3 linked regions of the Drosophila melanogaster genome follow. The protein of the gene in region 3 interacts with the protein of the main gene of each other region in a pairwise test. Each region holds a gene or a part of one and is shown on either strand. Other genes may lie near its edges. The genes, in order: Uba2, sip2 and Septin1.

Region 1 (9,974 bases), on a different chromosome or scaffold from region 3:
TGCCGTACAGTATAACAGGATTTATAAGTAACCGATTATATATCATCTATGTACTTTTTGAGAAAGATTCACGGGTTGAGGATGTTGCACTATGCATGGCGTAGTGTATGACCGAATAAAAGTAAATAAATAAATATTGAAATGGTTAAATCAATTATTTAACGTCTGCATATTGCACTATTATATATAGAATTACAGCATTGCAAGAGTTTTCCTGGTATCTTGATCTCATAATTTCGTCCCTCAGGTATTTAACTAAAATGCGCTTTAATTATGCTAATCTCCAGATTCTGGCGTTGTCTGCCTGATCATCTCTAAGCTATAGTTATCGTAATTAAATTCACTAACAACACGCACACACACATAGTCGATATTAAATTCATAGTTATTCTGTTTGCCTTGCCTTGACGCCTTGTCACGAGGGCATTAAAATTAATGGAATCGCTTAACAATACGATTGCACTGTGTAGAGTTCTGCCAAATAAAACAATCGCAATAACTTAATGCAAGATAAAATAAAAACTAACTTAAGAATTTAACTAAAATGTAGCAACAAAATCTAACTAAGGACTAATAACATAACAAAAATTATGCCCGTAATTAACTTATTTTATGTGGCTGCTCAAACTGCCGGCCCGTTTGCTTACAGATATATATCAATGTATATATATAGAAATTTCTGCATTACATATAGAACGTACGACTCAGCAAACGTCTTGTCCGAATCTTACTGGTAACCGATCAAGTTTAGGTTAACATGTCGCCCAAGTTGTCCTTGAGGGACTGATAAATTTGGTATTGTTGATCTGGCTTAAGGTTGTAAATCTGTGTCAGCAGCTTAGCCGGCGACGGAGTTCTGATGAAGCTGGATATATAAACGTTAACGAAGGTCGCCATAAGAAACTGACAATCGAAACGATCCATAATGCCGCCATGTCCGGGTATCATGTCGCCAAAGTCCTGCAAAACAAGATGGTGTGTTGCGTTACATTGAAAAGACCTGTGTTCCGAAAAGATTACTTACCTTAATTTTGAAAGCTCTCTTAAATCCAGAGGCAAAGAAGCCACCAAAGGGTCCAATAATGGAACTAAACAGGCTCAGGGAGATCGAGTGCCAGATAAAGGGGTAAAGATTTAGAGTCTTGCCAATGCCAAACTGGAAATGAAAAAAATTATTACTGTAGCTATCAGCACAACAAATCGGTAACCCATAACTCCATAGAAATACATTATCACTTACCAATTTAAGGCTGTATTCCTGGGGCGTGAACAAATAGCTTGGCACACAGGACATTGTCATGCGTCCCTGTTCCTCCGAGTACTGGATGGGACAGATAAAGTACTGGTAGTTGCACAGCACATACGAGAACAGAATGCCAAAGAGGACGGTGGCGAAGCCACCCCCGATGAAGCCCTCCCAGGTCTTCTTGGGGCTGAGCTTGATGAGGGGAGTGCGCCCAAAGAAGAAACCGAACACGTACGCCATGACATCATTGCACACTATCATCGAAACAGGTACGATGAACCAAATGAGCCCCTCAAATATATTCTGTATGATGAGGTAACTCTGGGTGACGACAATCAGCAGGGATACATGGGTCCAGGCAAACAGGCTGAATTGTTTGATGTAATACTTCTTCACCAGTGAGAGCACGAACCAAACGAACCCGATGATGTACAGGGCGAAGGAAAGGAACCGGTGATAGGTCACCAGGAACTTCAGATATTCCTGTAGATGAAATTGCATATTTACCAGGCGATATAATCAGGTTATTGTATTATTTACTGACCACCCGATTAATTACAACGCCAAAGTAGTCTACCAGATTCTCTCCGTAAAAGAAGTAATTTGAGGTAAGCAGGAAATACCAGGAAAGGCTTCGGAACCAGGGCAAGCCATGAATTCGATAAACCTGGTAGCCAATCGAGATGATCTCCTGGAAGCACTTCACCTGCACCAGTAACGTCTGCAAAGAGAAAGTAGGACAACGATTATTTGAAGACTCGTTTAAGCGAATTCCATTAAACCTACCGTGATCATCAAGGCCAGCGGTCCACCATAGATGATCAATGCGAAGCCGCAGATCATAATCCATGTGAAGATGCCGCGAATCACCCAGTTCTTCCATCTGTGGAATGCGCAAAAAATAATTGTTTGTAATTGTACATATTTACTTTTAATATTTGCTCGCCAACTGTAGACAGCTGTGGATATGGATTATTTTTGGAACGCACTCATACTCATTCTGTCGGATTTATAAAATTCGCACTTCAATAAAATATTTTTTGAATCATCAATTCCAAATCGACCTTTAGCTATTCATCATGATCTTTAAAGATCCCAACTACGCATATGGATTTGTTTCACATACCTATCCGGCAGATCCTTGAGGGCCGAGTCCAATATCTCGGGCGTTTTGTCGGTTCCCTGCGGCAGATTCTTGGCCAGTTCGTCGACGAACTTCTCCTCGGGAATCTTCTCTTCCTCGGAGTCCACCTGGCAGGAGGAGGAGCAAGGGAAAGGGAAAATTCACTTATTGATTGCATTGGCTGGGACTGCAAAGTAGGTTTCCTATCAGATTCGATACGACCGGAGTGCAGGGTTTAAATACTTTCTATTGGACGACGCCGAGCAAAGTCCATGATACGTGTATGTATGTGCCTATATACCCATAATCAGAATCACTCGTTTATCCAATACACAGGCACATAAAATAGAGAGGGGAACCAAGTGGGGAGAAAAATTGCGGGTTTTTTTGGGTGGCGTGTTTTGTTGCCAAATAGCTTGGTTGATAAGGAGGCATTATCACCCAGCAATAACAAAAAAAGTCCAAGCCAGAAAGGGAGTCTGGTCATGGTAATGGTTTCGGCTCTGGGTTCTTGGCCCAGTGCTTCCCTAATTGGCGTAGTCCATCTAATTGGATTTGCTGGTCATAATGGCGCTATATTGCAACACAGCAGGTGGGTGGTTGGGTGGCAGGCAGGCTGGCTGGCTAGTGGTGTGTTTTGTGTTTGTTATTGGATTTTCTCCAGGAGAGAGCTCTCTCTTCTTTCTCCCACCTGCTTGTGCGTCAGAGAATAACAAAAACACATAGCCACACACATTTGTTGGTATACACACATTGGCTTTTCTATGCTCCAAGAATTATGCAAATTGGTGTCCGGAACAGCTGCCGCTCGGCTGCTCCACATACAAGTCATTGCTACTTACATGGTCCGAGGAGTCGGCGGCGGAGTTGCGCTTATTGGCTGCGTCAGATCCGGAGATGGCCGTGTCCTCCAGTGGCTCATCCTCGCCCTTCCTGCGTCGCACTTCGGCCATTATTCGATGTTCGCCAGATCTATTCACAATGTATTGATTCCTATTGATTCCGCTTGAGCAGTTCTCGTCCGTGTTCCGCTCTCCGCGTTTGCCGTTTGCCGTGACCCGTGCTGCGTGATCCGTATGTCGACTTCGTCCGAATTAAAATGCTTTTCTCTATTTCTGATTAGCCCAGCATGCAGTGTGCCCAGCTTGCGCAAAGTGGGCTGGTGGAGCAAAAGTGTTGGCAAGTATGCTCAATTGCTGTTAGGTTTTACAAGTTGACTTTTCGGACAGAAAATGTTTGATGTCTTTTAAAAGAACTTTCTTTTTCTGTGCAATTAACGGTGACTTTTGTCGTAATATGTAAAATAAAATATATTAATAATACTAGAAAAGTTAATTTAAGTGATAATAAGAGTCACCCATATCAGCCATCCCTGGTAGAGAATATCCGTAGCTTTATACGTTTCCCAACACCTGCACCGGCGGCGTCACTTTTCTCGGCTTTTCCGTATCGCAATTTTGCAATTTTCTCGCCAAAAATAAGAAAAAGGAAAACGTAAATTCAGAAAATGGCAGCAGCTATCAATGGTGTTTTCCCACCCACATTGCAGGAGCTGGTAAAGAAGTCCAAGGTGCTGGTCGTGGGCGCCGGCGGAATCGGCTGCGAGGTGCTCAAAAACCTTGTGCTTAGCGGCTTTACAGACATCGAAATTGTAAGTTTTTTCGAAAAAAGTATTCCATATTATTAATTTATAAACGTTACCCAGATCGATCTGGACACAATTGATCTTAGCAACTTGAACCGACAGTTCCTATTCCATCGCGAGCACGTTGGAAAATCTAAGGCACGGGTGGCTAGGGAAAGCGCACTGAGCTTCAATCCGGACGCTAAGATAACCGCTTACCACGACAGTGTAACATCGTAAGTTGGGATAGCTTTGCCTTTACATCTTGCTAACAACACATACCTTTTAGTACTGATTATGGCGTCAACTTCTTTAAGAAGTTCGATTTGGTGCTCAGCGCCTTGGACAACAGGGCCGCCAGGAATCATGTAAATCGCATGTGCCTCAATGCGGATGTCCCGCTGATCGAGAGCGGCACCGCCGGCTACAATGGCCAGGTGGAACTGATCAAGCGTGGACTCACCCAGTGCTACGAGTGCACTCCAAAAGACAAACAGCGAAGCTTCCCGGGCTGCACCATACGCAATACGCCCTCCGAACCGATTCACTGCATTGTCTGGGCCAAGCATCTCTTTAAGTGAGTATACCTAATAATTAGTCTAAATTGCAGCAAATCTATTGATTTATTTGCAGTCAACTGTTTGGTGAGTCCTTGGAAGATGAGGATATTTCTCCTGATGCTGCTGATCCCGATGCAAAAGAAAAAGACGGCGGCGATGGAAATGGCGAGCCCAAAGGCGATGGGAAGGAAAAAGGCGAAGAGTCAAAAGAGGAAAAGGAGGCCAAGGAGGATACTGCCAACGGCAACATAATGCGCATTAATACTCGCCAATGGGCCAAGGACTGCAACTATGATGCGGGCAAGCTGTTCAACAAGTTCTTTAACGAGGACATTACCTATTTGTTGCGTATGTCGAATTTGTGGAAGACCCGCAAGGCACCCGTGCCCGTGCAGTGGGATACCCTGCTGCCCGAAGGATCCTCCGGTGATCAGAAGGATGTGGCCAAGCAGCATCACAAGGTGTGGTCCATCGAGGAGTGCGCTCAGGTCTTTGCCAATTCATTAAAAGAGTTGAGCGCTAACTTCCTGAAACTCGAAGGCGACGATACTCTGGCTTGGGACAAGGACGACCAGCCAGCCATGGATTTCGTGGCGGCCTGCGCCAACGTGCGATCCCACATTTTCGACATTGAGCGAAAGTCAAGGTTCGAGATTAAGTCAATGGCGGGAAACATTATTCCTGCTATTGCCACCACAAATGCGATTACGGCGGGAATTTCCGTGATGCGGGCTTTCAAAGTGCTGGAGGCCAAGTGGGAGCAGTGCAAGGCCGTCTATGCCCGACTTAGACCAAATGCACGAAATCACTTCCTTGTACCGGACGCTTCTCTTCCTGGCCCCAATCCCAATTGCCATGTATGCGCCAGCGATCCGGCCATTACTCTCAAGATCGATACGAAGCGCATGCGTATAAAGGAGCTGCGTGACGAGGTCCTGGTTAAGACGCTCAACATGTTGAATCCGGATGTGACTGTGCAGAGCAATGGCTCCATTTTAATCTCCTCAGAGGAGGGCGAGACCGAATGCAATGACGGCAAGCTCCTAAGCGAATTAAACATTGTGGATGGTGTGATCCTCAAGTGCGACGACTTCTTCCAGAACTACGAGTTGAGTATTATCATTTCCCACTTCGATGCGGAGCGCGATGAAAACTTGTTCGAAGTCGTAGCAGATGCCTCACAGCTGAAGCCAAAGGATGAGGATCAGAAGGAGGCCGTGAAAGACAAGGAGGATGAACCGAAATCGGCTAAGAAGCGTTCTACCAACGGGGAAGGAGACTCAAAGGACGATGGACCCTCCACTTCGAAGCGCAGCCGGCCCAACGAAGTGGTTGAGGAAGATGACGATGACTGTCTGGTAATCGAGGAAGACGAAGACCAAGCAGATGTTGTTGTCGTGGCCACAGACAAGCTCTCTGTGCAGAGTCCCCCAAAATCGGGCTCCAAGCGCAAGCCATGTGAAGTAATCGAGGATGAGGATATCACCGAGATTTTGGAGTCGTCTGACGACGAACCCGCGGGACCAACCAAGTGCAAACGTTCCCGCCTGGACGATTCGAACCCCGTGGCAGTCATCAGTATCGATTAATAAAAAAAAGAAGTTTTTATTCGAATAAGTTCTCAACTGCGCACTAAATTATGCTCTTGATTCCCTGTAATTTCATTCTGATTTAAAATAAAAACACATTTTTGTGGATGATAAAATTTTTAAATTTTTGTGCTTTGAACGGGTTTGGTTTTGCTCTACTCGATTAAATTCAAATAATCCAGTGCGAGAAATGTAATTTTATTAAATAAAAGAAATATAAAATAACATTTAAAATTAGTCAAATTTTTAATTCGATAACTTTTTAACGCCAACCAGTGCTGCGAAGCACTGGAAGTCATTGTGCCTGTTATCGGTTTCTGACCAGTTCAATCCAAAACAGAAAAAGGTGAGCTGTTCTACAAATTTTCATTGTAAATCTCAATGAAAATGCAAATTTCAGATGTCCCTGGCTAGTAGAATACTGCAACAAGGTTCCCGCTTGTGGAATGGTCTCAGTGCCGCGCGTGGTTTCCACCTTCTCACCCGGCCGGCGGCTCCTGCAATTGTATCAATTCAAAGCTCGCAACTTGTGGCCGCCACAACTGGAATCTGTCAGACGTCGGGTCTGCTGACGCCTGGCTCCACTTTGGTCCAGCAGGTGGCGGGATTCAAGGTCAAGGGACGCCTGAAGCGACGCTGCAAGGACTGCTACATCGTGGTGCGCCAGGAGCGCGGTTATGTCATCTGCCCCACGCATCCACGCCACAAGCAGATGTCGATGAAGAAGCGCGACTACAAGTCGTGGATCCTGACGCACGCCACCCAATCCAAGGAGCGCGGCTATTAGACCTAATTAGGCATTAATAAAAGCATTTCTTTAAATATGTTCATAAATAAATAAAAGAAAAATAATCCAAGTAGTCCGTGATACGTTTCCTAACACTGTATCAGCTGATTGTTTGTTTATATCGCAGTCGTTTCTTGCCTGTTTTGCTTTTTACTGTATCCGACCGGAGTTCAGTACACCTGGCCGAAAAAGATGACGACGCACTTCAGCAATGTACTGCGGCAGGCATTCAAAACGTTCGACCGGGCAAATCACGCCAGCTTCAATGCGAATTTGCAGCATCTGCGTCAATTGACGGATGAGCTGACCTACCGGGATCTGCACCTCCGCGAGGAGCTCTTTCGCAACGTGGGAAGCCATCGGGCACCCTGCAGCTACATGCATATATTCGAGGATGATCGCTTCTCCATGAGCCTGTTTATAGTGCGCGGAGCGAGCACTATTCCCTTGCACGATCACCCCATGATGTTCGGTCTGCTGCGCTGCATCTGGGGTCAGCTAATGGTGGACAGCTTTTCGCACCAGTTAGGCCCGGATGAGCCGCTCACCTATGACCCCCATCAAACAGTGGTGAAGGTGAATGTCGAGGAACCCAAATTGGTCACGCCGGCTAGTCCGTGTGCCACATTGACTCCTAGAAAGAGAAATTACCACCAGATTGCCCAAATTGGTAGCGGCGTAGCCGCTTTCTTCGACATTCTTAGTCCGCCATACGATGCGGATATGCCAACATATGGACCGCGACAGTGTCGCTTCTATCGCGCCACGGCAGAGGGCAGCCAGGTGCAGCTGCACTGCATCCCATCACCGGATACATACTATTGCGATGTTGTGGACACGCCCGAATCGGTGATGCAGGCCGCTTTTCAGTGCGCCGACGAGGTCTATGCCGATAATGCCAGCGGGACACAGTGAGTCGTTATCTCGCTTCCCAGCAGCTAACACCCTCCTATTTATTTGCCCATAATCAACCGTTGGCTGATCGTATCAGCCAAGTATCTTCTGTGTTATTTAAATAAAATTGCCTCCTTTTTTTGTATAAATCGCTCCGCTTTCACGGAATTTGTTTGGGTTTAATCTTCTTGCGCTTGGTAAATGTTCTGATTGCGTCGCTTAAGTTTTTTCACATTGGGACTAGCGGGCACTGATGCAGGTTCCTCTACATGAGGCGTTTCCGTTGCTATAATTGCTTCTTCAGCTTCCTCCTCGGGCAGGTCTATCACGTTTTCATCGGTGGTATCAGCTGCTGCAGTTGTAGGTGCTGGCAGGGATAAGTTAAGTTTCCTTTTAGTTGGCGTAACCAATGGTTCAGCCACGTCTTCTTCCACCGCCTGCAGCTTAGAACTTTTTGTTTCCCTATCCTTGCATTCGGTAGCTCCCACCGCAGGCAGATCTAGGCCATTCGCCAACAAAACTAAGCACAGCGGATCGTCTATACCCAGAGTGGCACAGAACGTATTGCTCTGGGGGTTTAGTTGAACCTTGGGTTGATCCACAAACATGTGCTTATAATCAGACTGCTCCGCGGGATCGAAAGCTGGCACTGTGCGCTCAAAGTTCTCGGGGACTTGAAGTTTCTGAAACTTTGCGGTCACTGCTTCTAGTTCTTCTTCAGTGGGGGTAAAGTTTGATCGCTCTGTAAACTCTCCCGCCTTTTTTCCGGGCAGGTAATAATAATTCTCCTTCACTGAAATCAAGTGATTTGTACTGTGCAAGATGGCTAGCCACTCTGCGTCGTATTCCAGGCGGGGAGTGCCTTCGATGGGGTCACTGGGTACCTCTACCACTTGCAGGAAAGCACGACGTGGCAGGCATTTGTCGAGAGCCAGAAACTTGGTCACGGGAACAGATTTGGATGGTGGAGGTACAGGAGCAGCTTTCTTTACCTTCTCCCTTTCCTCGTCTTCATCTTCACTGCTGCTGCTGGAAGAGGAAGATTCAGCATCTCCTAGCTTCTGGCTGTGATTGTGCGGCACCAAAGCGGCAAACTTGCAATGCAAATGGGCAGCAAACCAGTAGGCCGGTTGGACCGCTTTCAGTAACTCCTCCAGTGGCTGGCTACCCAGCTTCCCGCTTTCCATGTCTGCAGCAAAAAATGGTTTCTTGCGGAGCAGTTGCGCCTTGTTTCCGTATTCATAGATGCCGGTGGGCCAGTCGTGGGACAGGAAAATATCAACTCGCCCGGAAATTTGTTTCAGCCGAAAGACTTCTAGCTGCCGCACATGGTAGACACTGCGACACGTGGAATCGGTATACGGAGGGAATTCGTGATGGCCGCGCAAAAAGTCGTGACCCTTGAAGATTCCGCTTATTCCAGCTATCCGAACACCGTTTACATTGACGACGCCGGCATAACCAAGGTAGTAAATATTTGGAGCCACCCAACCGCCGTATGGGAGCTCCTGCAGGTAATTGGAGGCCTCATGGTTGCCGCCAATGAATATGGTCAGCACTGGTGCTACCAGCTCGCCACTGTAGTATCTTTAAAAATAAATGGATTACCTCCTGATCCACAAGCTGTCGAAACTCTACTCACTTGTAAAAGGAGCACATATCCAGGTACTTCTTTGGTACAGCCATCGTCTGCAAATCCTCCAGATTCCGGGTGGACTGAAAATCGCCACAGCACAATAACAAGTCGATCTTGGTGCCGCCAACCTTTTCGATGCCCTCTATGGTGTCGTATATTCGTTCCAGCTCGCCATGTGCACATCCTTCGACAGCTATTTTCATGGTTAATAAAGGTAAGTTACTACTTTATAAATAAAACTTGGTTGTAAACAAATGCAACCGGTTGTCCAAACAAATAACGCGTTCTGATATCGCTTATCGATCGGCAATTCAGTGTGAGAAAACGTCTTTGGGGAACGACAGGATGGACGCTCTTATCGATAACTCTACTTAATGACCGCCAATATTTAAACTGCTGAAATCTTCCGGAAACAAAGTCTTTCAGCACTTAGCATTATTAAATATAATTATATATATTAGATGTACTTATAAAATTCGTTCCCTGAACGGTTTAAATACCTCACAAAAAGGTAC
Region 2 (10,116 bases), on a different chromosome or scaffold from region 3:
GAACAATTAAAAATAGCTTAGACCCAATCCTTGGGGTTCTTCAGGACCTTCATCAGTTTGCCCTCCTCGGACTGGGACTTGGGCTCGTGCATGTACTCCCAGCGGGCGTGCAGGGGCAGGGACATCAGGATGCTCTCGTACCGGGCTCCAGGCGTGTATAGACCGAACTTGGTGCCACGATCGTAGATCAAATTGAACTCCACGTAGCGCCCGCGGCGCAGCAATTGCCACTGTCGTTCGTTGTTGCCATACTCCCGATTTTTGTGCTTTCGTACCAGCGGCACGTAGGAGGGAATCACGGCCCTGGCGCAGCTTGACACAAAGTTGAAGGCCGCCTCCTGGTTGGGCGAATCGATGTCGTCGAAAAAGATTCCGCCAATGCCGCGGCTCTCGTTGCGATGCTTGATGCGGAAGTAGTCGTCGCACCACTTCTTAAAGCGCGGGTAGTAGGTGGGATCGTGCTCATCGCAGGCGGACTTCAGCGTCTGGTGGAAGTGGGAGGCGTCCTTCTCGCAGAGGTAATAGGGCGTCAGATCCGTGCCGCCACCAAACCACCACTGCTTCTCCCCCTTGGCAGTTTCCACTTCAAAATAACGATAGTTGAAGTGAATGGTGGGGACATGGGGATTCCTCGGATGGATCACGGCACTCACACCGCTGGCAAAGAACGGCAACGAGGCGCCCTCCTTCAGATTCTTGCCGCGAGCCCGCATCTGTTGTACTGCAGCCGGGGGCAACGAACCGGTGACCACGGATATATTGACGCCTGCCTTCTCGAACACATCGCCATCCTGCAGGACGCAAGTGATGCCGCCTCCGCCCTCAGGCCGCTCCCACCGGTCCACCTTGAACTTCTGGCCACAGTTCTCCTCCGCCTCCAGGGCGCGGCAAAACTCCGCCTGGATCTCCATGATCAGGATCTCCATGCGATGACGCATGTTCTCCTTGTCCCCCAGCAGTGCCTTGGAGTCGGTGATGGGCTCGGCCATGAACCGCGAGGTGTTCATCTGCACCCCGTTGACCTTTGGGTCGACAGCCTCCGCGGAATGTGCGTACGTGACCGCCGAAAAGCTGGCCAGGCCCAATCCCGTGCCGAGGAGAAAGCCTCTGGCGTGCGGCCCCCTGGTCCGGCGCACCAGTTGAAAGGTGCCCAGCGATACCAGGGATATCGTGTGACGGAGTGCGTTCATTATGTGCTCTCGCCTACTTCAAATTTTTAACTTAACTTAAGTACTTTCGCCGAACGCAGTTTGTTTGTTATCTTTCACTGACCCGGCATTTCTAGTTGCATAGTCGCCGGTGTGACCGTGATATCACCAAAATATACCGAAAATAGGGGGCTCGCGATTTTGTTCTATTTACAGAGATACAAGAAGTTGTAACGTTCTTATAAAAATATTATATATTGTTAAGAACACTAGCTAGCTCAATATGTCTGTATATATACACAAAATAATAATAATAAATAATATATGTTAAAAGTTACGGAGCAGTACAATTGCTTTTAATGGTAGACATATTTGTCTTAATTTTATATTATTATTTGTTATAAGTGATATAACTCCGATGATGTATATGTGTAGTGTCCATTGGAATACCCCATTCAAAAATATAAGCGCAATACGGGCACTCTGTCGTGGCATTTGAAATAAACGACTGCAAAGGCGCGTCGATCGTTGGCAAATGAGCGTGCTGTGAAGAAATCCATGAAATATTTGCGTGTGCGCCTTGAAGATTAAGGAAGATCTGCGTGAATACTATTGCCAGAAGGTAGGTGATCGACTGGAGCGAACTCTAAATCCTCTGAACTATAGTCAACGCGCAATTATACGTGTTTATCCCGTCGACTGGAGTTTTGCACCCAGGACACACGCACACTCGCACACTCACGATGTCTGGCCTCAAGAAATTCCAAAACACTGAGGAATGGCGTCAGAAACTCCGTCAGTTTCTAATGACCGAGCGGTAAATACACATTGAAACCCATCCTTGGATAGTGTTGCACTAGTGTTCGATGAATTTGTAGTCATTTACTTTCAAACAAGCCACCTGCATGTCAAAATTGTTAGAGAAACAGTACGCATAAATAGTTTGGACAGTTTAGACACACATACAATTTAGTTGAGAAAACTAATAACAGTTTTCCTTTTTCAGCTTGCCGAAAAAGCCCGTGAAAATGGACGAAACGAAGGATATGCGCTATAGTTTGGAGATCGACGAGGATTTGAGGAGACCCTTGGAGGCGCGGGCCAAGAAAGTTCTGGCCGTTAATTCTGCCAGTCAAAGGACTGTTAATCTCGGCGAGGATACTATGTACGAGGCAGGTGACTTGGAGCACTTGGACGATGGCGATGATAGCTTCAGTGCCTTTGAGCGCATGTGCGACAAAACCGGTTCCGATCCGGATAGCACTCTTTTCCAGTACCTGCACAGCGAGGACCGGAGTCAGGTGATGGCCAGGGCTAGGGATCATAGCACCGACGATCAGAAAGAGATCGATGCACTGCGTCGCATGCTAGAGGCAGTGGGTACAGAAGACGATCTATTGGAGAACGAAAGTCCCGTCAAGGGGGCGGAGTGCACTCACCTGGAGGACATTGAGGCGCCGTCGCGCTTTTGGGACAACACCCTGGCCGGAATGGACGAGACCTCATCCGACTCTGGGCTGACTCCTAAAGCATTGACCAAGGTTTCGCCTGTCAAAATGGTGGGGCTGCTTCGCCCCTCAACCATCATCGAAGACAGCGAACTGGAGTCGTCTGATGTGTCTTCACACACAAGCTTCCAAAGCGCTCGCACCCTAAAGACAAATGCATCTAGTTCTTACGAAACAGCCACGGATACTTCCCTCAGTGGAACGCTCCTAAACGTCGACGAATTGTTTTACGCCGCAATTGCCAAGGCCAAGCCACCAGGAATGTCCAAGGGAGAGGAGCTGGAGCTCTTAAGCGATCTTCATGGCAGTCTTAGAGAGCTGGCCTCACTTCCGAAGGATGAGGTCGAGGAGGAAGAGGACGATATAGAGGATACAATAATCGAGCTATCCTCTTCTGACGATGAAGAAGTGCAGCTAGTTCCAGAAGTAAAACAAGAAGACACGTCCCGTGTGTCCTCAGTCCACGGAAAAGATCACACTGAGCAGAAACCAGCGGAGAAGAGCGTTGAAAATAAGGAAAATTCGTTGCATTTCAATGATACCATGGAAGAAATGGAGTACATGATGCAAAAGGGTATGGAGTACATGGCAGGTGGGGCTCCTTCAGTCGCCGCAGTCAAGGCAGATTGCCCTGTGCTGCCCAAGACCAAACAAAGCACGTTCGTTGTTTCACCGAAGCCGGAACCAAAATCACCGGCTGTAGCCTTTTTGCAGCCATCAATTCCGCTGCGGTCATCTAATCAGCCACAAACAGTTGTAGGTTCATCTAGCACGGGTAGAAAGCCGCTCAATGTCGGCCTCACCATGGAGTGGACCAAAAAGAAATTTTTCAGTGCAGCCTCTGGTATTCCTCAGCGTCGCCAAAATCAGATAAAGCAGCCATACGCCAACATAGTCAGTCCCATACGCACCTACACCCAGAAGTCTGGTACTGCTCCGCTAATGAGTACATTCCGTCCAACGAGTTCTGATATGCTATCTACACTGGCCATCAGTGAGTTGGAGCAGGAGTCTCGCTTGTGTCATCCTAAAGCACTTTTCGCAACAAAGGACGAAACACCCAAGTCCAGTGAAGCGGAATCTTTAATTATCAATGGAATCGATTCAGCCGCTGATCTGCTTCCCAAAAAGGCTTACATATCTTCCGAAATCAAGCATGTAAGTTTAAATTTATATATAAGCCATGATGAGTGAACGTAAACTAATACCTTCCATTGAACAGGTGGTTGATGAACGAACTCCTTTGCCCATGCCGAAGGTACCTCAAATTCAAAAATACCTCAACTCCGCCGTGGAGCCTACTGTTATGCGCCACGATGGCAAAATGAAAATGCCCGGCGAGGCAGTCCGCAATCCGTCGTCTTCGCATATCCCACGACGCGCCAATCACAGCCTGGCTGATCTGTCGCTCGCCTCAGGCGACGTGTCCTTATACACAATAAGAGATGCCCAAAAGTTTTAAGGCCCATAAAAGTACTTCACGCTCCTTGACTAAATATTGCAACGATAATAAATGTATTGTGTAACTAGTGCTAGTAAATGCCTTCGTTTTCGTTTGATAGTATCAATGCTTGCATCATCACTTAACTCGCGCCTGCGGTCCCTTCCACGCTCGATTAACCTTGGACTCTGAGGTTCTGCCCAGTTCGGTGCAGATGTACCGCCCCACTTGGATCAGTTTGTCTAGGTTGACGCCAGTATCGAGGCCCATGCCGTGCAGTAAGTAGACCACATCCTCGGTGGCTGCGTTGCCTGACGCCCCCTTGGCGTAAGGACATCCGCCCAAGCCAGAAACGGAAGAGTCCACCACCCGAATGCCATAGTCCAGTGAGACCAGTATGTTGCTCAGAGCCTGACCATAAGTGTCGTGGCAGTGCACGGCCAGATCTTTAGCCGGGACGACCTTGGTCACCTCATCCAGCATTCGGCGCATTGTGCCTGGAGTGCCCACACCAATGGTGTCGCCCAATGAGATCTCATAGCAGCCCATTTGGTACAGGGCTTCCACCACTTTGACGACAGCACTCGGCGCAACAGCACCCTCGTACGGGCAGCCAACCACGGTGGAAACGTAGCCCCGGACGCGCACACCATGCTTTTGGGCTGCTTTCAGCACAGGTTTAAATCGTTCGATGGCCTCAGCTGCCGTGCAATTAACGTTCTTCAGCGAAAACGCATCAGATGCGGCTCCAAAGACTGCCACCTCCTCGGCTCCCGCCTCCAGAGCACTCTCGAATCCCTTCAGATTAGGCGTGAGGACTGGATAGCTTATACCAGTCACTTTGCGGATTCCTTTCAGCACTTCGGCATTGTCGCCCATCTGTGGCACCCATTTGGCGCTCACAAAGCTGGTGGCTTCTATGGTTCGCAGTCCTGTTTCGGACAATTGGTTGATCAGCTCGATCTTGGTGGCTGCCGGCAGGAGTTTGGGCTCGTTTTGAAGACCATCCCGCGGTCCAACCTCCACAATTCGCACCTGATTGGCCGCGCTTGTAACCGCCGTGCGCTGTTAGTTTTAAAATTATTAAAATATTGTCAAGTGCGTTCGATTTTCCGTGAAATTACCTTTGCTGTAAGTGCAAGGATAGAGCGAATTGGTGCACTTATCATTGCTAAATTTGTAAATAAACGTTACGTATTCCGCTTCTTCTTTTTTCGCTGATAACAGCTGATAATGATCCAAGATCGATATGTTGCTAAATTTCGATAACTGTTTTGCTTAATGAGCTGCCATCTCTAGCGCAGAGGCGTAAACACATTTTTTGTATACAAACGGGTATTTGGTGCTAATTCTTTGTAATGGAAATAGCAGAGATATCTGCAGAAGATGAGGATGTGTTTCACTTTGAGACCGAGCACCTGGCCCTGCGTGGCAACCAGTGCTATACCAATTTGCTGCGCACTTTGGCCGTGCTGCAGGCACAAAGGATTCGGGTGCATCAGCAGATTGAGGAATTGGAAGCCACACAAAATATCTACTTGGAGAATCCGCAACATATGCTGGACAAACTGCGAAACAACGAGCCTTTGATAGCGGATAATTACATCACCACGACCGTTCTACCGGACTTGCCAACTCTGTCGCCCAATGACGAGGAAGGGGGCACAAATGAGACACCGACCGATGCGTCTTCATGGACGCAAGAGGCGAACAAGAATCGGGACAGGAGCAATGGACGGTCGGAGAATTTCAATCGCTTGTGGACCAACGAAGAGCAGAGTCGCTTGGAGCAGCTGCTCATCCAGTATCCGCCAGAGGAAGTGGAAATGCGCAGATTCGGGAAGATAGCGAAGGCCTTGGGCAACAGAACGGCACAGCAAGTGTATAGTCGTGTCCAGAAGTATTTCCAAAAGCTGCACGATGCCGGAATGCCTGTGCCCGGTCGCATACCCAAGCATCGACGTCCTGGTTTGAGTAAGCCGAAGATCAAACTTCGCAAGTCAACCTTCTTCCCCGCTCATAATATATCGCTACAAATGCCAGAGGACGATTTCACATTTGACGACCTGCGAATCCCATCGCCTGCGAGCGATATGCTCCTTATGCCGGCATCCAAGATCGAACCAAAGATCGAATCCGAGTACATGGATGCCGATCTGAATGCGGAGTCAAAGCGAAAACAGGAACTATGCCTTAAGCTTCTATCAGCCATTCAGGACGAGAAACGGGAAATGGAGGACGGATATGAGCCAGACTTGCTGGCCGCCAAGTGTGCCGAGTGCGAAGAGGCATCTGTGACCAGGACCCAATGGCGTTGTAACAGTTGTTATTGTTACCTTAATCTGTGCGGAGATTGCCTGGCCAGTCAGCTAATCGAAGGGCGTTTCGAGCATTTAAGTCATGAAGTTGTAGTGGACCAAGAGTCATGACGCTCCTAGAGTCCCATTTACTTGAGTACTAAATTACTAGACTTGCCTGTAAAGCTACAAATTAAATATAAAGAGAATAATTTTAAAAAATTCTATTTTATTTATAAAAACTTAATATTAAATGGTATAAAAGAGAGGCCCTCTTAATTGCGCAATTGGGCAGATGATTTCGGCAGAGATTGAATACGCTGGCGACGCTTTGCTTCGAACTCCGTAGCCAGCTGCCATGTTTCTTTGTCCAACGTATCCTTCCCCCGGGCGATGCCCAGCAGCCGTGAGAGGACCAGCAATCCATGCAGATCATCGGCATTACTTTTGACATTAGCTTTACGCATGTCCACGAAATCCTGCTGGATCATTTCAGTGTGCTCCTCGCTCACGTTGAAGCCGCTAGTGCGCGCTGTGGTCAAGTACTTGCGAAACTGCTGCAGACGTGATGGCTGCAGATAGTGGTGGGCTGCCTTTAGAGATTCATCAACAAGTTCCACGGCCTTAGAATCGGCATTAATGGGCAGCACAAAATCGCTCTGAAAACATATCATTAATAGTTTCTATTGGATATAATGATTATTTATATAAACTTATATTCTTACCGGCAACATACTTCGCCCTTCACTGAGCACGAGAACTGGAATATTTGCTTGGTAGTCTATTTGGTAATACTGAAAGTCGCACTTCAGTTCCTGATTATTGATCAAGTGCGCTAAATGCTGAACGGCATGAACACCATTGGCCTCCAGCTTGCCCTGTTGCATGCACGTCTCGTCGAGCACCAAATGCGTATGGGGAGCCAACTGTAGTACGCCGGAAACCAGCTTGTTTGTCTCATAATCCTTCCTGCAAGTACTCATTAATAGGTATTCAATTTTATACTATTTCTGCTTAGCCAACTTACTTTGGGGCAAAGGCTGCCGTGTTTAGTGTGACGAGAGTCATGGGCATGTAATGGCTGGCCGGCAGTAGCAGCTCCAGAATTTGATACAACTTGGTTGCATACGCCTCACAATTCTTAGGGAGATTACAAAGGTTAAGGGCGAACTTGCCGATGCTCTGCATCTCAGAACGACTGTAGACCGTAGATATTAGGTGGGAGAGCAAATACTCGGCAGCCAGATCGTCATCAAAGAGGCAGAGTTTAAGAAGCATGCGCAGATCTTTGTGCACAGCAAGGTGGGTTGGATACGTCTCCTCACATATTTCCGTTGGCTGTCGAAGGCTTTTGTCCAGCAGCGGATTGGCATGCGGCAGCACCTGGACTCCGAAGGCATGCAGGCGGGGTATAAGAAATGGCGATGGATGAGCTGCCTGCAGTTCACTCAAGTTTTCACAATCGTCTATTTCCAGGGTAGCGGCGTCTAGTGAAGCATCCACTGACAGAAAGCCCACAAAGTCGACCAGCGAGTTAAGCTGGTAGGTATCGAACTCCTCGTAAACCTTTACCATGCATGCCATGCTGGGACGATCCGGCAGAGGCGAGTTAATCAGGTAATCAGACCCAAGAACAGAGGATTTGGAGGCGCCGACTGGCTCGCTATCTTTTTGAATCTCTTTTAGGCAGGGTCGCTTGAACGTTGTTTCGCTCGCAACGTCCACATCCATGGCTTCTTCTTCGCCTACAATAGTCCGCTTCTTGGCTGAACTGGGAGATTGACCCAGACTGGCCAAATCGATCTGGGGACAGCACAGCTTCTCATGCTCCTTGCTCCAATCGTTCAGACCAGGCACAGAGACCACGAACATGGTACGCCTCTCTCCATGCACGTTTCCATCGGCGTTGTAGTCAATCACTTCGCCATTGGCTATTTTCAAGCAGTCCCTGTACTTTCCTTCCTGTACACGTTTGCTGCCGTCGGCGGATTTCACTTCGTAGCGCTCCAGATAGATTTCTGGGTCCATCATGTCCTGGATCATTCCACGAAAGCGCACCAGAGTCTGATCCTTCAGCTTGTGAAGAGGCGTGTAGTTGAGCAGGGGAATCGAGTGCCAACGACTGGGATCCTTGAGCAAGTCCTTGAGTGCAGCGCTGTCCGCTTGCTGGGCGGCCAGTTCATCGGGCGTGCTGGGCAGCTCCATCGCACAGGGCATTATCTAGTTAACGAATGAATTTGCAAATGCCTCAAAAACCTCGAATGCAAAAAACAACAGCTGCTTTGGCGCGCCAAAAACTGATTGCAGCATATTAGTGATGGTCATCGATGGGCCTATCGATATCTGCCAGGGATGTCGAACTCTGCCGCAGAACGGATGTAGAGGCGGATGTGGACATCCGCAAAAAATGTACAATTTGAGAATTACCAAAGAATTGCAGCGATGAGCAAGAAGAAAAGCAATGTGTGGCAGTACTTCTACAAGACATCCGGCACAGTGGCCACCTGTCTGCTGTGCAACAGGAACTACTCGAGGCGAGGACGCGGCACAACATGTCTGCGGAATCATCTGAAGAGCAAGCACCCACCGGAGTTCCTATCTCTATCCGGGGACATAAAGTACCTGGACCTGGTTAAGAGCGAGATCTCCATCGGTTCGCCACAGCACCCCACAGCCCAGCTAGAATTGAATCTGCACGTAAGTGGGATAGCATATAGATGTGCATACATACCTATGTACATGCATATGTACTGTGCAAGAAGTGTACCTTATGTGAAATCGGGGTACATGCCCTTCTAGATATTCTGTCATGTGGAGATGGTTTCCCCAAACTTAAGTTTCCATTCAAATATAGTTTCTTTGGTAGTTCATAAAGTAATTTATGCCTTCTCTTATTTAAAACTTTTTACTAATATAGCAACAGCGGATGCGGATTTTTATCCGCGTTTGGCTAGATCGGCAAACATGTGTTGTGTTTATAAAGTGTAGTTAAGGAGGTTTTAAAAATGTACTGTTATGGTCTTAGTATTATATTTTTATAAATTATGCGTTTTTCACTAATCTGATGCATTAAATTATTCTATTAATCATTTTAGGAAACAGATTCAGATCCATTGGACACCGAGGATATATCCTACAGCAAACGCTGTGATGAGAAGTTGGCCCTCATGCTACTAAATCACTCCTTTGAGTTCATTGAAGGACCAGGATTCGTAAATTTCATTAGGACGCTGCAGCCGCGGTACACGATTCAACCAAGGAGCTACTATGAGAAGATACTGTGCGAGGATATACAAAGGAAAATGCATCAGCATTTGAAGCAACAGGTGGATCTGCTGGATGCCATATCGTTGTCTACGAGTCTCTGGCGTGGTGACAAAGGCGAAGGACTGCTGAGCTTGTCCTGCTCCGGAATATCAAGGGATTTTCAGACTCACCGCCTAATGCTGAAATGCGAGGCTCTGAATTACGAAAGCACTTCGAAGCTAGCTTGTTGCATTCGAGATCTTGTGCCCAGCTTGGCCATTGAGGTGCCCAAAGAGAAGATACACTGCGTAATCAGGGACGAGATGACGGCGCTGCCAGGTTCCCTGCCCGATTGCAGTGTGCACCGCCTGCAGATGTGCGTTCGATTTGCTTTGCAATCGAACGAATTACTGCAGAACCTTTCATCCAAGTGCAAGCAAATAGTTGACCATTTTGCGTCGTCTAAGATGGCCAAC
Region 3 (11,189 bases):
AGGGCTGCATTGGAAATGTCCATTGTATCGCGACCCTGTTGCTTGATCATCTTTGGATTACTCAAGACCAAACGATATGTGACGGAAGGCGCGGTGATTATGGGCTCAGCGCCATGCTCCTGCTCCAGGCGCTGACAGAAGACCTCCATGTGCAGAAGTCCCAGGAAGCCCAAACGCCAACCTTGTCCCAAAGCTGGGCTGGAATCAATTTTTACAGTTACCGCTGAGTCATTGAGTACCATTTTGTCGATGGCACTGCGCAGGGCGACATGTTTTGACTGGTCGGCGGGAAAAACTCCAGCAAAAACAAGCGGCTGTTGCGGTCGATAGCTTCCTGCGGCGGCGACTGCTTGGTTCTTCAGGTGAATGGTATCGCCCACAATGGATTCCTTGCTGTTGCGCATATTGCAAGCAATCAAGCCCACTTGACCAGCGGATACATCCGGAACAGGACACTCGGCTGGTCTCAACACAGAGATGCTCTTGACGGAATACACCTTCTTGGTGGCTAGCGACTGAATATCCTGATTCTGCTCTAGCTTGCCATTCAGCACATAAATTAGATTAAGGGCTCCGCGATACTTGTCGAACCAGCTGTCGAAGATTAGGGCCCGAAAGTCGCTGTCCCGTTGAACTTGTGGTGGCGGCACAGTTTCTATGACCCTTTCTAAGACTTCAGATACGCCGGTGCCCAGCTTGGCGGACACGCGCAGCACCTCGTCCGGATCTATGCCAAACAGCAGCTTTAGATCCTGACAAACCTGATCAGGGTTTGCATGCTTGATGTCTATCTTGTTGAGCACGGGAACCACTGCCAACTGACGCTGCTTGGCTAAGTGATAGTTGGCCACGGTTTGAGCCTGGACACCATGGCATGCGTCCACCAGGAGTACCACGCCGTCGCAGGCAGCCAGAGATCGCGAAACCTGGGTAATGGGCAAATGATTAGCAGAAGAATTAGCAGACTTTTGACATGAAACACACTTCATTGGAAAAATCCACGTGACCAGGAGTGTCAATGAGGTTCAGCAGATAGAGCTGTCCCTTGTGACGGTGGAAGATCGATGCGGTCTGGGCCTTGACCGTGATCCCACGCTCCCGCTCCACCTGCAGGTTGTCCAGTACCTGGTGCTGCCCGCCATTACGCGCAATGGCTCCCGTGAGCTCCAGCAACCGGTCAGCCAGCGTGCTCTTGCCGTGATCGACATGCGCAATGATGCTGAAGTTCCGAATGCGCTCCACCGGCATGTGGGCAAACTCGCGCAACAGATCCGCCTGCGAGGGCTCCTCCGTTTCGCCCTTGACCTGATTGGTGGTGCTCAGGTTGCGGACGAGTAAGCTCTTTGACCTGGCCACCAGCCAGGCGGAGTGTCGTTTGTCCCCCGGGCGCTGCAGCAGCCAACGGATTGAAATCGCACGAATCATGGCTGAATTTACATTTCTTTGCCGGCAAAAAAAAATTGTTACCGCACACCATGTGCGCCGTGTGACCGTATGATGAAAAAATACCGAGTAGCCGACAATCATGTGTAAGACAGCAGGAAAATACTGTCCATCTTGTGACAAACAGCGCCATCTGTTGGCAATCTACGAAAACCGATGTTTACACATGAACAAATATTTACAACTCAATAATCCTTTACTAATTTGTTCTCGGATGCAAATTAAACATATTCTTAAGCGAAAGATCGTAATGCTCCTAGATCTCAGATTGCCTATAGGTTTATATTCATAAATAAACAAGTAAGAAAGTCCGAAATATTGAGCTATATATCATAAATATTCTGTTTTTTCAACTGCTTTCGTGAGGAAGTCATCGCTGCGAGATTCGATTTCTAGAAGCCGAGGTTCTTTTCTTGGAACAGCTTACAATGGTAAATGGTAATTGTAATAGACCAGCAAGGGAGCTGGAGGAACTGCTGGTTCCAGAAAAAGGGGGTTTGACCTCAGCACAGTCAGAGAAAAAGCCGTTCTCAACGATCTCGATTTAAGAACTTCGATCTCAAAATCTAGCCAAGATCGAATCATGCTCAGCATACTCAGGTCGAGATCGAACCATTCTCAGATTGCAACTGACTTTGCTCTTATTTTTCGATCTCTTTCTTGGTTTTTTAACCTTACCCACACATCATCTTCTACAATCTGAAACCCGATACTGCTTCCGTCTAAAATATGTATCCAACATAGAGATCGTTTTCGTCTCGAAAAAATAAGTCTTCTTTTCATGAGAATGATTGATGGGATGGTAGGGATTATCCTGGCTGTGTCCCTGTACCGATTCCACAAGACCTTGATGCTAGACGTGTTGAGGAGACCATACACACGGACAATACTCAAGTATGGGTTGAACTAGGGATACTTGAGGTTGTGAGGATCCTTAAGCTCTTTCGACGAACGCTTGACAAATATGTACAAGTAAAACTTTTGTTCTACTAACAATAATGCCAATGTGATTGGAAAAGCTGATAGTGAAATCTCGCAATGTTACTCTTGTGCTTGCTTGTGTTTTCGAATGCATACGTTGAATGAGCATTTTGGTTTCGCTCTAAAAAAGCAAGACAAGCAGTTGTGAAAAGTGTCTAAAAGGTTAAGATTTTGCCAGGCATCAGGCGAACACAACTGCAAATGTATCTAAAGGATATGAATGCCTAACTATTGTTATTGAAATACAACAAAAGTAAACTTATCAAACAAACAAATGGGCTTGGCAGTTGGAACATTCGGCTTGTTAAAGTTTCCGAGATATTGACGCTCATACGGACAGACGTACATATATGTACATACATATGTAACTGGATGGAGTCGGCTAGTGATCTCCTCAAGAATACAAATAGTATGCCCCCTTACACTTTGAGTAAATGGGAGACTACAAGAAAATGCATAAGACGGTCTGGCTTACAAATTGTATAAAAAGCATATTTATATATTCATAGAGGATTATATTGAGTTAAAAAAGTCTTCATATACATAATAAAAGAGATTTCACATTTTGGTTTTTGTTTCATCCGTTAAAGGAGTGCACTTTTAAGCGAGTAGCCTGCTAAACCGAGTTTCCGCAACTGGCCATGGGTTCCCGGGACCGCCTAGGAAGGGATCACTGTTTATTCAATCAGATCGTGCTTAGGAATCGGGCGGCACTGCAGGACAGCGGACCATGGAGGTCAAGAAGGATCGGAAGGGCAGGCTGACACGCAACATATAGTATAACCTAAATAAATTGCTCGCTTTGAGACAACACAGATAAGGGTAAGGTAAACAGACAAAAATGAATTAACATACAATATAAATCGGATTGGATTCGCTTAGCCTAGATGCGTATTACAATAATAATTCATTGTTAATCGCGTCTAAATACATAATAGGAATACAATTGTTTTCGTGTGTGGTTTCGCTTGATAGAAGTGATATGAGTTCGCTGATGGTTGGTGTTCCTTATGTTCTTTGTTTTTCTGATGAAGCAATTGCATTGCAGGCATTTGCATACGCGGCAGGTGTAAGTTAGATGTGTGTATAAATGTATGTGGTGTGTATATCTAGATACTACGGATATATATATATGGAGAATGCGAAATTAATACAGAATACTTAGCGCCCGTCGTTTCACAATTGAGAGTAGAATTAAAGCGCGATCGCAACCAAAATCTGCGTACAAAATATATGTTTTGTATATGTGTATATATACGACTTGTGTATAACTAGAGATTGCCGCCTCCGCCAAGCGCGTATATAAAAGATATACCCGCCTGCTCACTGCTGGGCCTGCATGCGCGCCTGCATCTGGGCGAGCATCTCCTGCATGCGCCGCAGCTCGGCCTCCTTCTCTTGCAGGATGCGGTCCTTCTCGCCGAGCACGCTGTTCGACACCACCTGCGAGCTGCTGTCCCGCTCGGCCTTCACGCCGTTCTCCTTGCCCTTGATGCCCTTGGCGAGGCGGTCGGAGCGGTAGTTTTCGTAGTGCACCTCCTGCGTGACCTCCTGCAGGTCCTGCATGTGGGTGCTGTGGGGCAGCGGGATAGGTGGTTAGTTAATAAGCAATCAGATATTGGAATATTTGCTTCACTTACATGAGCATCGTGCGCAGCTTGATGAAGTCGCAGTGATCGGGATTCTCTACCTCGACCACGCCCCATGGATACAGACGACCGCGCACCTTCTTGCCCTTGACCTCGAGCAGTGTGTTGGCGCCGCAGACGGCGAAAGGCACAGCTTCCTTAAGTTGCTTCACCTGCTCCTTGTAGTCCTCGTCCTCATCGGAATCACAGTCTGGCAGTGGGTAGATCTTGATGCCGTGGCTCTCGATCTCCTGCATAATGCGGCACTTCAGGCGCAGGATCTCCTTCTTTGTGAGACAATCGGCCTTTGCGATCACGGGCACAATGTTAACTTTAGAGTGCAGCTTCTTCATGAACTCTACGTCCAGGGGTTTTAGGCTGGGTACAAAAATTGATGTGATACTTCGTTTATACTTTCTATTATACAATTTGCAACACTACTGAGCTTTGAACTCCTTATTTTTAATATTAAATGTTCAAAAGTTAAACGGAAAAGGAACGCACCCATGACCGAACGGCGATATAAAGTAGAAACAGCAGTGAATGCGATTGTCCACAATGTTGCGTCTGTTCAGGCCGCTCTCGTCGCGCAGGAAGCGCTCGTATTGCTCATCGATGTACTCGAGTATGGCACCAAAGCTGTTGGAGTTGTCGATGGCATCGCCGAATCCGGGTGTGTCCACCACCGTCAATCTTAGCTTGACGCCGCGCTCCTCGATCTCCACCGTCGATGCCTCCAGCTTTACGGTTTGCTTTTGTTTCTCTGCAAGAGGGGAATGGTTTCCTGGATGAGTAATCAAAGCGAGTGATGACGAAAGACTATGCCCACCTATGGCGTCCGGAATAATGCGCTCGGGATAGAGATCGGTGAGAAAGAGACTATTGACCAGCGTGGACTTGCCCAGTCCGGACTCGCCCACCACCATTAGGGTGAACTCGAATCCCTTTTTCACGGACTTTCGATGCACCTGGTTGGGCAGGTTGGCGAAGCCCACATAGCCGGGCGTCTCGATGCTGGAAAACTGCACGAGAATAGGTGAATAACATTAGTATAGAGAACCAAAAGTCCTAGGCTTCATATATAAATAAAAATAATTAATATTAGAAACTTTCTGAGAATCTACTAGATAGGTAATGCCTTTAATTTCAGAACAGGTAAACAATCAAACATTGCTTGCAAAACCAAGAATTACTCAGTTCAATATCAGCACTATTTCTGGAACGTTTAAAGGCGAAACAAATGTGGACTTTTTTGCATATGGAAATTATAATCTTAACGAATTGCATATTAACTAAATGTGCCGTGCATTGTGTTCTATACATATGAATACATATGCGAATAATTAAGTGGGTCAGCCTATGCTGATTAAGCTATAAAACCATGCAATGCAGACTGACGATAAATCATAGTAATATTGTACATATATCTGCGGTCGATCAATTTATCTACCAATTAATTGGAACTATGTTTCTCGGTAAAACACTTTTGGGAATAGTAAAAACTTGCATCTCATGAAGAGAAAGTTGAGTTGAGTTAAGAAATGGGTTCAAGGATATGACCCAAAATGGACAAGTGATTGAAAGTATTCCATATGCCTTATTAACTCGTAACCCAACTCAGTTGGGTTGAGCTAATGTCTGGTAGTTAGGGTTTTGGGTCTTAGAAAGCGATGGCTTGGCTTGATTTGCATGCCCATCACGCGCGGATCAGTTTTCTCTTGGGCGCCCAAACTATGGGCACGGCACTCATTTCTCCGTGCACCAGAATGCACTGCCATGTGGGTCACGGGCGGCCGAAGTTGCTTCGCGAGGGCGGCAGAGGTCCCGGGAACAAAGGAACAACGCCGACGCCACCGGCATGTTGTGAATCACTTGACTTCTACTTCCACTTCCTTCTCCACTCCCGCTCAGCAATGCCCGCTCCCACCGAGTGGACAAAGGGCGGTGCAGGAGGAGTGTCCGATGAACTGGCGCGGCGAGATGAGCGGCAAACAAATCAACAGGAGCGCCGCATTCGGCATTTGATGCACTGGCAACCAGGAGTGGATGGCACGCCACGCCCAGTTGGCGGCGGATCGAGTTCGTTGGGGGACTGGCCGTTGGCCATTAGCATTTGGACAAGTGAACAGCGGCTACTCACGCCCTTTGTATCGGCCATTTTAAAAAAAAACACGAAACGAACGAAGAAATCAACGTAATGACGAACAAAATAGCAGGGCAACTAGTGTGACCGCAGCGCGCAACTGGCAAATCCTGCTGCCAGTGGGACCAGTTCGGCGGCAAAACAAAAATGACGACCGTCTGAACAAGATCAAGCTGGTATTTCTTTTGAAAATCTGGTTGAACGTAACCATATTTAATAAGTTATTTAATTATTATGGTTTTATATGGTTTATATTATATCATGACTATATTTTTATGATTTCACTTTATTAATCGGAAATTTAAGCCCGGACTATATTTACGATTTAGTTCGTAGCGTTTTTGACAGTAGATAACATCTTATGTAGATACCATGTCGAATATCTCCTGGCGCCATCTATTGTGTATCGTAAGGTATATTTTGATTGAATCGTTTTCCAATTCGCGCGTACACATTTGAAATTGTTTACACATTGGTGGCTTTTATAACTTGTAGTCTTTATTTTTAAAACAATACACATATTAATATTGGATGCACTTAAATTCACAATACATATCTATATAATCCACAATCATAGCCGCTCTAATCAAAACACAGATCATTGGATCTCAAGCGAATCGTGCCGAGCCTTAGCCTTAGGACTCCGGACTGGGGCTTCTGGGCTCTGCCGTATCCCCACCGGGGATCTGCTCCCACTTTCCGATACGCCTTAGTGCATAAACACATACATATATCATATCTGCACGGCTCTATACACATATATATGAATTGTTTCGCATGCTGATTGGTTTCAACTTTGGGTTTTTCGCTGTAATGTGTGATTCGTTAACAGAACATCGACTAGAAGACGGGTAGAATTGAGAGGAGACGCATGCAAATCAGGATTCGAACAGCGACATATCGCGGGGTAGCATCGAAATTGCGTCACTGCCATCCATCCCTATCCCTATCCCATTCTAGGTGATTAGCCGCGGAGCGTGCAGTCCATGGACATTCTCGATGGGCGGGCAGTGGGTGGCGCCGGGTGGCCCCCAGTCGTGCAGGCCGCGGGAATTCGCCAGACGATGGGTCAGCCGGTGGGCGATGCTGAAGCCGCCACTGCCCTCTAGTTGGGTGAGAACGATGATTACTTGTCTGAAAGCGTTAAGCACACGTTAAGCAATTAGTTGGGGGAATATTTTAGGTGGTCGATTGGGAGCCCACCTCTGCAGCGGGGGCACAGAGTCCACTGTCTTGAGTTCGCCGCGTGTCGACACCACATTGTAGCTCTCCTGGCAATCACATTTCACATGGATCCACTTATTCTCATGTCTATTTTCCACCATCACAACCAGACCCGCCCAGCCCTGTAAAGGAAATGCGGTCGAGTTAGTAAGGCCACCGAATCCCTAGATCCCTTCGCAACCGGATCACTTGCCTTGGTCAGATAGTAGGCGGTCATCCCCTCGCGCCCCTCGTGCCGCTGTCCCTTGGTTAGGGTCAGGCTAATGATAGCGTCGGCCAGGAGATGCGGCGAGGGACTTATCTGCTCCACCAGCAGACGCTTGGAGCTGTGTATCGCTAGGATGCATTGAGGATACTGGTGGGGATCCTCGATGCCCGTGTGCCAATGGTTGAAGGCCAGACACACAAGCAGGTAAATGTCCCGCTCCAGCATCTTGTGGCATCCCACAAAGCCTCGCACCTAAATGGAACGCAATTGTTAGAAGCGTTTCTATTTGCAGGGCTATGGGAAGCACCCACCTGACGCTTGCTGTGCTCCACTAATCGACCGATTTCCGGCGCCGCCGGAGACCGGGTGCGGAATATCACAACGCACAGGTCCAGCTGCGATCGCTGCGACTTCTCCGAGTTGCGCTGCCCCTCCTGGAATAGGGTAAACTCCGCCTCCGTCGGCTCCAGCACGGTGAGCAGCACACAGGAGATGGAGCACAGGGGCTGCAATGTCCCCTGCAGACGCACCTCGTTCCAGCCGGAGCGCACCTTGCAGATATCGATGCAGTCGAAGTAGTTAAGCACATCCTCGAACGAGATCCAGAAGACGCCCTCGCTGGCGCCGTGCGGCATCAGAGCATCCCGAAGATCGTCCGTCCACAGCGAGGAGTCATCCGACCAATCGCCACGCCACGAATAGTGACCCCACGGATTGCGTAGCTTGAGCAGGCGATGTCCCTGGATGTCCTTCACGTCCAGCACCGAGTAGGCGTGTCGCGGGCGCAGCCCCTTCTGCTGGTACTCCTCCTCGTCCACCTTTGGTTGATGTTGATAATTGAGCATAAGCATATGAAATAGAAGAAGACTTTGTAATAACGCAGAACCCACCTTCATGTTGCCACCGCCACAGCTGGCGCCCATGAGGAATCGTACGCATCGAGAGCTCAGCAGCTGGGCCCATATCAGGTCCTTGTCCAGTTCGTCCTCGCTGGGCATGGGCAAGCTACTGGCCTGTAGTGGAATGCTCTCGCAAGGCGCTCCTGTCAGCGTGGCCAGTCCCTCGATCGCCCGGCCCGAGACCAGCGCCTCGTAGCAGCCGTGGATCTTGGCCACAGCCTTCTCGATCAGCGGCACCCATAGCTGCTTGCGCTTGGCCTGCGAATAAACCAGATGGCCACGCTTGTCGCATGGCAGCAGATCATCCACCAGCACCGTCGTCCACTTGCCGTCTTTGCAGAGGCGCACCTGGTATGCGCCCTGGCCACATATCTCCTTCGTGACCAGCACCTCCTTGACCAGATCTTCGCGCTCCGCCAGCACCGCCAGCGCACTGAGTAGCCAGCAGTTGCCCAAGACGCCCTGGCAGATGTCCGAGGGCAGCGGGGTGCGGAACACAGCCCACGGTGGATACGCTCCGCCGTCGCAGTTAATCTCGTGCGGCCGTCGCCACTGCACCACAGGATTTCCCTCGCCTGCTCCGCTCGCCGGATTGTAGTACAGACTCTTCGGCGCCGGCGGAAACGAATCGTCCACGAAAAGCTCGCTATTGTCGCGACAGTACTGTATGATGTTTTGCCACTTGGTCAACGCTTCGGTCTCCTCCAGCTGGCGAAGGTTCTCCATCAGCTTGCTCTCCTGCCGAATATCTGCCGGTGTGAGGGCAACTCGAACGGACTTTCTGCCCAACGCCTCGCCCAAAACTGCGCTCGCCAGGCCGCGCGGACTCGAGCAGATGTCACAAACGACGGAAGCGGCACAGTTATCGTACGTGCACGCGGGACACTGCCACTTCTTTGTGCTGGTACTGGCTCCGACAGCTCCAGCTCCAGATCCAGCTCCAGAAGCAGACACTACCGATGCGGAGCCGACTCCCTGGCCCTGCTGCAAATTGTAATTGGCCAGACCAGCGATGGAAATGTTCCGTGGCACAATGGAGCCGCCGGTGCTGTGACGTTTAGGTATAGCGCCCGATGAGCTGGAGTTCCTCTGCTGCTGGAGTGATGGCAGCAGCTGCATCCTGGGCGAGGGACTGCGTGAGCCGCGCAGACCAGCCGCTGTTGACGTTGGAAGCTGCAGCATGGGCATGGGCAACGCCACCGAAGTTAGCGGTAGGTTCAAGGCTGTAGGCGCCTTGACCTCATTGGCGCCCGATTGGTGGGCACTGCCTCCTCCGCCCCCGACGGCTGCAGCATCCTGCTCCTCGTACGACTGACCATCCGGTCGCTCCCGTACCGCCTCCATGGCCATCGAGAGCTGCGGCTGGCGGTGGGACTTGCAGGCACTGCAGACCGGCGAGTGCAGCGAGTTCTTGAGCGTACAGTGGCTGCAGGTCCAGAACTCGCCCTTTCGCAACGTCATGTCCTCGATGGAAGAGATGCTTTTCAGCTTGGAGCCGCCGCACACCACGCAGGCCATTGCTGTCGAGTAGTTAACCAGGGTGCACTTCTTGCAGGTCCATGGCTCGTCGCGGGGTGCTTCTGGAATGCATTAGGTATTTGATATAGCACAAGCATTACATTATTTCCTGAAAACTGATGACACACCTGCCTGTTGCTGCTGCAAGTGGTGGTGGTGGTGCTGCTGCTGCTGCTGCTGCTGCTGTTGCAGCTGCAACTGCTGTTGCTGCTGTTCGGCTTTGGCCTCGCACATCTCGCAAGTCTGGAGCCAGAGTCGGTTGTAGGCATAGGAACATTTGATGCATATCCACATCTTACTGCGGCTGCCGTTGCCAAGCTGTGTCTTATTGTCGTGCCGCGAGGCAGCAGCTGCTCCTACGGCTGCAGCTATAGCTCCAGCTGACGCGGTCCCTGCTGCTGCGGATGCGGCTCCTGATAGGCGGCTGCTGCTCCCTGGATCATGCATACTGCAAATCGAAAGCAAGACCATCAATTGTAATGCAGTCAAGTTCAAAATTGATTCAACACGGGAGATAGGCGAAATCAAAATGTAATTAAATTGAACACTTGAACCACAGATTGTCATAGCCGAGATCAGCACGATTGCGAATGAATTAATTACCTCAACCAAGTTGTGACAATCTTGTGGCAAGCCAATCATTAATTTAAATCATGCCCATAAACAATTTGCTTAAATAATACAACTGAACTTATAGCGGGCAGAATAAAAATAAAAGCTGGTGGACGGGCGAAATACAAACAGAAGGCCGCAGTGACTAAGCGCCACGCAAATTATCAGCAAAAATAAAAACGTAGCCAACTGATAAGCTTCTGCGGGGGATAGGAAGTTGGATGGGTGTGGACTAATCTCGGTCGCACGCTAGCTGCCAATTACATTTTCGACTCGGTCGCCTTGCGCGGTCCCTTCCACACTTTGGCGTAGATGGAGTGCTCCTCCACCTGCGACTCGGATTCGCTGGCCTCGCCGCTGCCATCGGTGCTAGTGCCTAGTCCGGCGGTAAGGGATTCACTGACCGCATCCGCGATCTCGCCACTGCCAGTGTTGTTGTTCGTTTGCGATTCGCTGGCAATCTGTTGCTTCTTCTTGAGCTTGTGCTGCTTGTTCACCTGCGCATAGATGGGCATGGTAGCCGTTGGAGCTGG

What was found.
Region 1: the proteins of Septin1 (region 3) and Uba2 interact in a two-hybrid assay, tested with the Drosophila melanogaster proteins (one study listed by BioGRID).
Region 2: the proteins of Septin1 (region 3) and sip2 interact in a two-hybrid assay, tested with the Drosophila melanogaster proteins (one study listed by BioGRID).

Annotation. Positions count from the first base shown.
Region 1 is NT_037436.4:8,121,607-8,131,580, reverse strand, and holds Uba2 (Ubiquitin-like activating enzyme 2), read left to right. Parts: upstream 1-3,762; 5' UTR 3,763-3,876; coding exon 3,877-4,020; intron 4,021-4,074; coding exon 4,075-4,229; intron 4,230-4,282; coding exon 4,283-4,570; intron 4,571-4,626; coding exon 4,627-6,142; 3' UTR 6,143-6,254; downstream 6,255-9,974. Other genes in the region: Cds (CDP-diacylglycerol synthase), read right to left, coding at 748-960, 1,025-1,156, 1,241-1,729, 1,791-1,967, 2,033-2,129, 2,373-2,497, 3,212-3,322; mRpL36 (mitochondrial ribosomal protein L36), read left to right, coding at 6,543-6,929; CG7550 (uncharacterized protein), read left to right, coding at 7,122-7,844; ldbr (lariat debranching enzyme), read right to left, coding at 8,003-9,410, 9,466-9,662.
Region 2 is NT_033779.5:6,955,593-6,965,708, reverse strand, and holds sip2 (septin interacting protein 2), read left to right. Parts: upstream 1-1,634; 5' UTR 1,635-1,770; intron 1,771-1,853; 5' UTR 1,854-1,891; coding exon 1,892-1,965; intron 1,966-2,032; exon of another isoform or gene 2,033-2,053; coding exon of another isoform or gene 2,054-2,076; exon of another isoform or gene 2,077-2,154; coding exon 2,155-3,814; intron 3,815-3,878; coding exon 3,879-4,118; 3' UTR 4,119-4,193; downstream 4,194-10,116. Other genes in the region: Coprox (coproporphyrinogen oxidase), read right to left, coding at 18-1,190; Hmgcl (3-Hydroxymethyl-3-methylglutaryl-CoA lyase), read right to left, coding at 4,236-5,162, 5,222-5,266; Atac1 (Ada2a-containing complex component 1), read left to right, coding at 5,456-6,526; CG3430 (uncharacterized protein), read right to left, coding at 6,670-7,053, 7,120-7,363, 7,422-8,611; CG13775 (uncharacterized protein), read left to right, coding at 8,837-9,091, 9,490-10,116.
Region 3 is NC_004354.4:21,353,397-21,364,585, reverse strand, and holds Septin1 (septin 1), read right to left. Parts: upstream 6,301-11,189; 5' UTR 6,211-6,300; coding exon 6,193-6,210; intron 5,075-6,192; coding exon 4,882-5,074; intron 4,816-4,881; coding exon 4,557-4,815; intron 4,431-4,556; coding exon 4,065-4,430; intron 3,998-4,064; coding exon 3,748-3,997; 3' UTR 2,898-3,747; downstream 1-2,897. Other genes in the region: waw (waclaw), read right to left, coding at 1-926, 985-1,527; sol (small optic lobes), read right to left, coding at 7,152-7,329, 7,399-7,541, 7,613-7,879, 7,939-8,445, 8,518-10,106, 10,173-10,492, 10,921-11,189. UniProt on the Drosophila melanogaster protein: Involved in cytokinesis. May be involved in p53-dependent apoptosis.